Ovis aries: one gene and its partner. The main gene of each other region encodes a partner of the protein of the gene in region 2 in a complex. Links are inferred from orthologs where the notes say so. Each region holds a gene or a part of one and is shown on either strand. Other genes may lie near its edges.

Region 1 (4,512 bases), on a different chromosome or scaffold from region 2:
GAGTCAAGGAAGATGGAAATGCAGAGAAAACCTAGTACATTTATTTATTCACTGATCAATAGGCATTTCCTGTCGTGTGCCAAGCTTCACATTGGATGCTGGGGATACATAGATAAAACAGGCCAGATCTTGTCCCCAAAGGAGTATTGGTCACAAAACCACATCTTGACCAAGGTGCTTTCATTGTTTTCCAGGCTTGCAGGGTGGGGAGTAGGGGGAATCCCCAGAGCACACAGACCAGGAAGTCCTAATGTTTTTGACCTGGAAAGGATGAATCTGTAGAAAGAAAATAAAGTGGAGCTTCAGCACAGGAATTATTTAAGTGACCCTTATATCTGTCCCACCAAGATGGTCCTTCCACCACCAAGTCCTAGGTCCCTTGGGATAGGTAGAGAGCATTGTGCTGGAATCATTGAAACAGTGCTGGCCTTTGATGTAGGAATCAAGACAAAATCCAGGCTTTTCACAGGCTCTTCTCTGATGCCCTCTGATAAAATCAGGGTATTGGGCTAGATTGACATCTATGCATCTTGCTAGAGTTCCCCTGTGGTTCAAGATAACTCAGCCAATCGAGGCCATAACCATAGCAAAATTCTCTGAATGCAAATAGTACTTCAAGTCTTAAAAATCACTTTTACATTTAGTATCGCTATGGATATAATTGTGTCCATTTTACAGATGGGGAAACTGAGGTGGAGGATGAAATAGTCAGTTGCTCATAGTCACATAGTCAGTCAGAGGCAGAGATGATATTCAAAGATAGAACTTTTGCCTCTTGTATCACTCTCCTTCCTCCTGCCTTATTCCAAGAAGCTTTCCTTCCTAGGACCCAGCACGGCCTGTCATAGGTGCCTCCTGGGACTTGTCTAGAGAAATCTAAGGGGTAAAGGTCACTGAAGCGCAGAGCATCTGCTTAGGGAATGGGGAAGTACTGGAAGATGTCAAGCAACCTCTTTCACATACAAAGGTACCATTAGGTTGAGAGCATATTAAGGTCCAGGGGGATGCGGAGCTTGCTAGATCTTCTCCTCACCTTTCACCGGCAGGACACATGAATTCCCACACGGACCCCTGCAGCACTTGAAACCATTCAGGCAGTGGCTGTCATCCTGGCAGATGTTTACAGGGTTGGGCCTCTCACAGTGGCCAGTGACCACCGGACACTTCCCAGGAGTGACTTTAAGTGATGAAAACAAAGTCACAATTCAGAGGCTTCGCCCCTTGGCACATCACCCAAATTCCCAACTCCATCTTCACCCCATGCGTGGAAACTGGTTCTTCCCTACCTTCAGGATCCAATCTGAGGCTGGTGCGTGTCCTAAAGAAGACTCCCTCCCACCAACGGGACCCCAACTAGTGTCTGACATACGTGTGTCTGATAGACAGACTATTCATGAACTGACTGACCTGCTGGCTGACAGGCTCACCAGCTGGCCTACTGTCTACCTGAGAAAACAGAGCGGGTAGAAGGGGTGGAGAAGCCCTGACTCTATCCCATCCTGCACCCCAGTTCAGACGAGCCCCCTCCACTTGCCCAAGAAGCATGTCCTCAAGCTCAGACCTCCCTGATCCCCCTTTCCAGGACTGGACTTCCTCACCTGGCTTTGACGTGTCTACAGGATCCGTGCATTTGATGCCACAAAGACCCTGGCAGCATTTCTGCCTCTTCGGACACTGCCAGTCACTCTGGCACTCAGGCGGTTCATATACAAAGCACAGCACAGGGCGGACGAAAGGACAGGCTCCAGGTTTGCCTTTTTCTGAAGGGTAAGAACAAAGGAGGAAGAAGCTGGCACTGAGTCAAGATCACAATCCTCCAGAAGGAACCAGGTGAGGAGAGAAAGCCTAACCCAAGTAGCTGACCTCAAAGGAATGAAGGGAGCCATTAGGATTCCAGTTTCAAGGCCGATGTGGGACAGTGGCAAGCTCAGCCAAACCCTCAACCAAGAGGGAGTCAACGGGAGAGAAGGTATAGATGGCGGTGTGCCACTAAATCTTTCAAGAGGGAGACTTTGTGGAGTTTGCCAGTTTCCCTGGTGTAAATATTCCCACTGTTCCTTATTTCAAGCTACCAATGTGACATCTACTACCTCACAGAAGTCTTGAAGATTTCACAGTCAGCTACGGCATGTCTGTATAAGTCAGCTCCAGGGAGGGCTGAACAGAGTTCATGGCCAGGTATCCCTGGCCCAGGGCTGGCTGGGAGGGAGGCAGAGACAGTGACAGCAAGAGAGGCCACTCATTTGAGATTAAACAAAAGAGAACAGATCAACTGAGAAGCAAATAGAAAAAAATAGTGACCATTAACAACAACAACAACAAAATTAAGAGAAACAGAGAACAATTTGGAAAATTAAAACAGATAGTGACCAAAATAATGTGACAGAGAAAAAAGAAAAAACAGTAAAGAAGGAGATATAGAGAAAGAAAAATAAGAAATACAAGGGCTTATCTCTGGATGCACAGAAACTCTCTTAGTTGAAGTCCTCAGAGACATGCTTGAAATTAAGGACCATAGGCCATTGGAAAGAGGGCTTCAAGACCAGCCCCCAGGCGAAAAAGAAGAGATTATTCCCACGCTGAGCCATCATTGACTTTGGTACCTGGGTATGGCCTGAGAAAGTCCAGCTCACGTTTGGGAGCACCTTCCACAGTCCAGGGCATCAGGAATCCGAAGGCAAATATCACCAGGAGGATGATAAGGCTGCTGGACTTCATCTTGAGGGCAGGCGGGGCGGTGGTGACCAGTGTCAGCCTCACCCTTTATACCCGCTCTGATGGGTGTGCTCCCACCGGAACTGCCCTGAGTTCTCTCAGCTGCTATTTCCTCAGCAGGAAATTCAGGTGAGGACAGTGACCACGCCATCCAGTGTTGCTGGCTCTTTCCTGCCCTTAGGCAAGAGCGTGAGGACTAGGAAGGGGAATGAAGGACTTGGAGGGGGTGGTGTCAGAAAGCCGCTTGGGAACATGTTAGGGGACCCTGAATCACCCTCCTTGGGGAGGAGTCGGGGAGGGGCAAAGAGGGCCAAACGGGACATTACAAAGGAACTTGTTAGAAATCTGGAACCATGGTCTCTGAAAATGCCATGACTTTCCCACACTCCAGGGCTCTGGAGGATTGCCACATTTGTTACCACATTACCCAGGGTCACTCCCTTCCCTAAAAGGCAGGTGACATTTTTTCTCATTCTCTCCTGGCTTACTACCACATATAATTGCAGTGCCAGTCACACAGAGAATCTGCTGAATGACAGGTGGAGAGGGGACAGCAAGGAAAACCTCTTGGGTCTTCAGCTTTCTCAGTTGTGAAGTCGGGATAATAGTAACGGACTAGATCACAGAGGGGGAACTTGAGTTCAAAAGAGTGGAAGGAAGTTGAAGAAGAATGAACACACTACCTGTTAGCAGAATGGGAGTGAGACTGATGCAAAGTCAATCACGTTGGAGCCCTGTTTCCTGAGATAAACCGATGGGGCTCTTCTTAGCAGTCAGTTGAAGAGCCAGTTGAAACAGGTATGTCATTTCATATGCTCAAAAAAATCCTCTCACACCCCAGAGTCATCCTCACTGGTCTTGCATGATCATAATGGACATTTATTGTACACTGGCTACATGATGAGAAGTTTAAACAATTCTAAATAGCAAAAGAAATCCTCTTAAGGTGAAACCAAGAAAAAAAATGCATGAAATACACAAAGTAGAATGTAGGAAAGGAAAATAAGAGAGTCCTCATGATGATGGTGACAGAAAATCCCAGAGTGAGACCTGAGTGCCAGAACAAACTAGAGGTTATGTGGGGAGAAGGAAGCTGGGAGGGACAATACAGGGGTAGGGGACTAAGTGTGCGTGCTAAGTCATTTCAGTTGTGTCTGACTCTTTGTAACCTGTAGACTGTAGCCCGCTAGGCTCCATCTATCTATAGGATTCTCCAGGCAAGAATATGGGAGTGGGTTGCCATACCCTTGTTCAAAGGATCTTCCCAACCCAGGAATCAAATCTGTGTCTCTTTCATCTCCTGCAAGGGCAGGCAAATTCTTTGCCATTAGTGCCACCAGGAAACCCAGGGGGACTAAGAGGTACAAACTATTATGTATAAAATAAGCTGCAAGGATATATTGCACAACCTGAGGGATAGAGCCAATATTTTACTATAACTATAAATGGAGTATAACCCTTAAAATGTCAGTCACTATATAATATGCCTGTAACATATAATATTTTATATCAACTCTACATCGACACAAAAATTTTAAGAAAGCATTGCACATTTGCTACTTCAAAAAGAAAAAAAGAAAAAAGAAAAAAAACGGAACTACCAGACCAGATTGGAGAGGGTCAGAGGGCCCCAGGAAATTCATCTTCTGAAAGGTGAAATTAATAGAGAACATCCGGCAGTGATGAATACGTGGAGAGGAGATTGGGCAACTGGTGAAGAGGATGTGGTTGAATAGATGCTCTCTCAACTCACATGCAGAGAAGGCAATGGCACCCTACTCCAGTACTCTTGCCTGG
Region 2 (4,396 bases):
GCCAAGAGGGAAGAGATGGGGGTTGACTTGCCTATGGCCACACACCAGGGGTGAGGGGACCCAGGGACAAACTGGACTCCCATCCCAGCTGGGCTCTGGGTGTCCCTGGGTGCCCCCGCCCACCTCTTCCTCAGATGGATCCGTTGGTTCCCGCCCCAAGCCTTGCTCCAAGCCAGGAGAACGTTGCTTCTTGCGACAGCCTTGGCTACAGCCGTTGCAGCTGGAGCAGCTGGGGTGAGGAGTTGGGTGGGGGGAGGAGAACGGGCACCATGGGGCTGGGGATTGGCCCTGGGGGACTCTATCTCCCTTGTCCAGCTTGAGCTCTTCCAAGGTCCATACCAAAGCTCTCAAACTTGGATGGAGATCCATGGTCCAGCCTCCAGGCCCAGGAGGGAATTCTCTCCTCTGGCTCCGGCTGGAAGGGGTTTCAGAGTTCAGAGGGGCAAGGGTGGGATGGTTTGGGAGGGGTTCCTTCCCAGAACCTCGGAGGGCCCCCAGAGACTGACTGAATCCTGGGTAGGAGTGAGTTCCTTGTTAGAAGGAGCAACCAAAGACAGGTTGGAAGTCCAGGCTCCCAGAGGGACATTCAAAGCCGAGGAAGTCAGCAAGCCCTCCTCTAGCTGTGAATTTTGGATTCAAAGCCCAGGTCCCCCAACCATGTCACTGGGCAGGTGGCTGATATGGAGACCCTGCCATGCCTGCAAAATATTAGGACAGAGCTGGGTGCACATGATTGCTGTTATCAGAGAGCCCTGGTGAAACTGAGGCACGTGGCATCCCAAACAATTCCTCTGGGCCAGAGTGACCAGTATTCTTGCCTGGAGAATCCCATGGACAGAGGAGCCTGGCAGGCTACAGTCCATGGGGTCGCCAAGAGTTGGACACAACTGAGCAACTTAGCATGCATGCATGTATGACCACATTTAGCAAAAATACAGGATGTCCTGCTAACTCTGAATGTCAGATAAACTAACTTTGTACATAACTACATGTAAGGAATATTGGCTTCCCTAGTGGCTCAGGTTGTAAAGAATTTGCCTGCAGTGCAGGAGACCCAGGTTCGATCCCTGAGTCAGGAAGATCCCCTGGAGAAGGAAATGGCAACCCTCTCCAGGATTATTGCCTGGAAAATTCCAGGGACAGAGGAGCCTGGGGGGCTATAGTTCATGGGATTGCAGAGTCAGACACAACTGTGCGACTAACTTTCACTTCACTTACACAGGACACCCTGCTAACTTTGAATGTTGGATAAACTTTGTTCATAACTACATCCCATGCTTATATGTGGGATACACTTATGTTAAAAAGATGTCTATCTGACATTAGGGTTTAATCATGCACCCTGAGTTTGAACTGGTGACCCTCCTGGTCACTTGCACAGTTCCTTCCCCAACTGTTCTTCCCATCACCCAGTCGGCGGTCCCCCATCCCCTGGATGGGGAGAGGAAGTAGGGGCACCTGGCCCCGCCGTGGGGCAACTGCAACTGCCTCTCGGTGTGGGGACTATAAGAGGGACAGGTGGGCACAGAGGGCAGAAACCCTGGAGCCCCCAACCGACCATGACCCAAAGCTGCAGACACTTCAGCCCTGCCCTGGCCCCCATCCTGCTGGCCCTGCTGCTGGGGGGTGAGTGGGGTCGAGTCTGTCCCTGGTCTTCTGCTCCCCCTCTCCACTCACCCTGGACCCTGCCGCACCCCCCAACCTCATGGGATGAGGAGACTGAGGTTCTGAGTGGTGAGGGTGAAGGGGGGGTACACCCTGCACCCTGTGGGGACTTCAGGTCTGGCTGCGCCGGGGCAGGAGGACCGTACACGCCCCCTCCCCTCTCTGGGTGACAAGCAATAGAAGGGCCCAACCCTGCGGGGTCCTGCTGGGGGTTCCAGGGGTCGGGGGTTCCTCCTCTGCTTACCGCCCCACCCCGCCCGTGCCCCCAGGCCCCGCGCTGGCCTCGGAGATCGTGGGGGGCCGGGCGGCCCGGCCGCACGCCTGGCCCTTCATAGCTTCGCTGCAGCTGCGCGGAGGCCACTTCTGCGGTGCCACCCTCATCGCGCGCAACTTCGTGCTGTCGGCAGCGCATTGTCTGAACGGCGTGTGAGTGTCTCCGCGGGCGCACACATCGAGGGTCCCTGCGCGAGGGGCGTGGGGCCGGCCCAGGGTGGGGGCTTCCGGCAAAAGCGCGAGGGTTTGCAGGGTCCCCCTGCGCCCCAGCGGGGTCTCTCCGCCGCTTCCGATCCCGGGGACCCCCCCCCCATCACCTCCTGTCCGCCCGCGACCCCAGGAACTTTCGATCGGTGCGCGTGGTGCTGGGGGCGCATAATCTGCGGCGGCGGGAGCGAACCCGGCAGATGTTCAGGGTCCAGAGGGTCTTTGAAAACGGCTTCGACCCCTTGAACCTGCAGAACGACGTCGTGGTTCTCCAGGTGCGCGGGGGGCAGGGCGGGCAGGGCAGGTGCAGCGTCCTGAGAGGCTTGGGGAGGGGGGAGGGGCAGGAGACTGGGGGGTGCGGCGGGCGGGGGGCAGACCTGATGTCCCCCCTAATCCTGGTGCTTTAGTCACCCCGCTGTGAAATGGAGAAGTACACCCCCGCATCCCGCAGCGCTGCCAGAGATTAGATAAGACAGCCAGAAGCTCTGAGCAGCTGTCTTTCCTGGCAGTGGGCACTGACGGCCTCCCTCTTTGGGAAATGGGGCAAAACTACCTACATTCGGCGGGTGGGAGTCTGGAGGCAGAAACCTACCTTTCCCCTCTGCTTGCACAGCTATGATTATTCTCTGAGAATGTTCTAGAACAAGGGCTTTATGGTCGTTGGTGTAGCCCACGGTATGTTCTGTTGGACACCTACTGTTTACTGCACTCAAGACACATTCAGGGACTTCCCTGGTGGTCCAGGGGCTAAGACTCTGCACTCCCAAATTCAGGGGACCCAGGTTCAATCCCTGGTTGGGAAACTAGATCCCGCATGCTGCAACTAAGACCCCATGCAGCCAAACAAATAAATAAATAAATATAAAAGACATGTCCAGAGACGTGGCCTCAGCCATAGTGGTTCCTTCCACTTTACAGACGGGGAAAGTGAGGCTCGATGGGAGGCATGAAGAGGGTGCGCATCCTGCTCTTAAACACCCCAGGACAATGGTAGAGCCTCAGCAGGGGAACCTGGCCCCAGAGTCACAGCCGTGGCTCGCCACCCCTCTCCCGTGACTGCTTCATACCCCACCACCCTCCTCTGCAGCTCAACAGGATGGCCACCCTCAACGCCAACGTGCAGGTGGCCCAGTTGCCTGCCCAGGACCAGGGCGTGGGCGAAGGTGTGCAGTGCGTGGCCATGGGCTGGGGCCGGCTGGGCACGAACCGGCCACCGCCCCAAATCCTGCAGCAGCTCAACGTGACCGTGGTGACTGGTCTCTGCCGCCCCACCAACGTGTGCACCCTGGTGCCACGCCGGCGTGCTGGCATCTGCTTTGTAAGTACCCTGGGTGCCCCCAGACCCCACCCCACCCCCTCCCAGGCTGCTGCAGCCAGACCTCTGGAATATCTTCCCCACCCTGAAGGGCAGGTAGGTGGAGCTGAGAGGGCTGGGCCGGGAACCCTAGCCCCCCAATTTGTCTGGCTCCACAGGGGGACTCCGGCGGGCCCCTGGTCTGCAACGGGCTGGTCCATGGGATCGATTCCTTCATCCGTGGGGGTTGCGGCTCCGGGGTCTTCCCAGACTCCTTTGCCTCTGTTGCCAAGTTTGCCAACTGGATCAACTCTATCATCCGGCGCTACAATGACGACGATGGCCCCTCTCTCCACCCCAGGGACCCCACGGGCAGGACCGACTAGAAAGGCTGTACCTGTCATGCCCCCTCACCTGCCCCTGGCTGGGCCCTTCCCATGAAGCATCACTCAGCAGCTGGCACAATAAAAACCTCTCTCTGTTTTGTAGAAGGTGTCTGTGTGTTTGTTGGTTGTACAACTGAGTTGAAAAGTCCTCAGGAGAAGGTCTTGGGTGTGTCATGAGTATGCTGCCACCAGGTGGTGGCTGATTCAGGGCCCTGGGGTAAGAAGTCCCTTCCCTACCTTCCACAAAAGGATCCCAGTTGCTATTTCTTGGATGGAGGAGCCTGGTAGGCTGCAGTCCATGGGGTCACTAGGAGTCGGACACAACTGACAGATTTCACTTTCTCTTTTCCCTTTCATGCACTGGAGAAGGAAATTGCAACCCACTCCAGTGTTCTTGCCTGGAGAATCCCAGGGACGGGAGAGCCGGGTGGGCTGCGGTCTATGGAGTCGCACAGAGTCGGACACGACTGAAGTGACTTAGCAGCAGCAGCAAACATAATTAAACCAGTGCTGCAGGTGGTCATAATGCAGAGCACTACAGCAGGTGTTCACACGTGCTTACAAGCACAGA

The links.
Region 1: the proteins of ELANE (region 2) and antileukoproteinase-like are in contact, whole or in part, in a crystal structure (PDB 2Z7F), measured with the Homo sapiens proteins. The link is inferred for Ovis aries from reciprocal best matches to the Homo sapiens genes ELANE and SLPI. Residues at the interface, in NP_001963.1 of Homo sapiens: His53, Phe54, Cys55, His70, Cys71, Asn74, Val75, Pro111, Val112, Asn113, Leu114, Leu158, Ile165, Leu180, Arg182, Val197, Cys198, Phe199, Gly200, Asp201, Ser202, Ala216, Ser217, Phe218, Val219, Arg220, Gly221; in NP_003055.1 of Homo sapiens: Tyr93, Gly94, Gln95, Cys96, Leu97, Met98, Leu99, Pro102, Phe104, Met121, Cys122.

The regions. Positions count from the first base shown.
Region 1 is NC_056066.1:73,486,801-73,491,312, reverse strand, and holds antileukoproteinase-like, read right to left. Parts: upstream 2,852-4,512; 5' UTR 2,719-2,851; coding exon 2,604-2,718; intron 1,761-2,603; coding exon 1,599-1,760; intron 1,178-1,598; coding exon 1,034-1,177; intron 277-1,033; coding exon 248-276; 3' UTR 20-247; downstream 1-19.
Region 2 is NC_056058.1:41,086,039-41,090,434, forward strand, and holds ELANE (neutrophil elastase), read left to right. Parts: upstream 1-1,533; 5' UTR 1,534-1,559; coding exon 1,560-1,626; intron 1,627-1,934; coding exon 1,935-2,091; intron 2,092-2,278; coding exon 2,279-2,420; intron 2,421-3,232; coding exon 3,233-3,463; intron 3,464-3,618; coding exon 3,619-3,825; 3' UTR 3,826-3,930; downstream 3,931-4,396. UniProt on the Homo sapiens protein: Serine protease that modifies the functions of natural killer cells, monocytes and granulocytes. Inhibits C5a-dependent neutrophil enzyme release and chemotaxis. Promotes cleavage of GSDMB, thereby inhibiting pyroptosis. Promotes blood coagulation.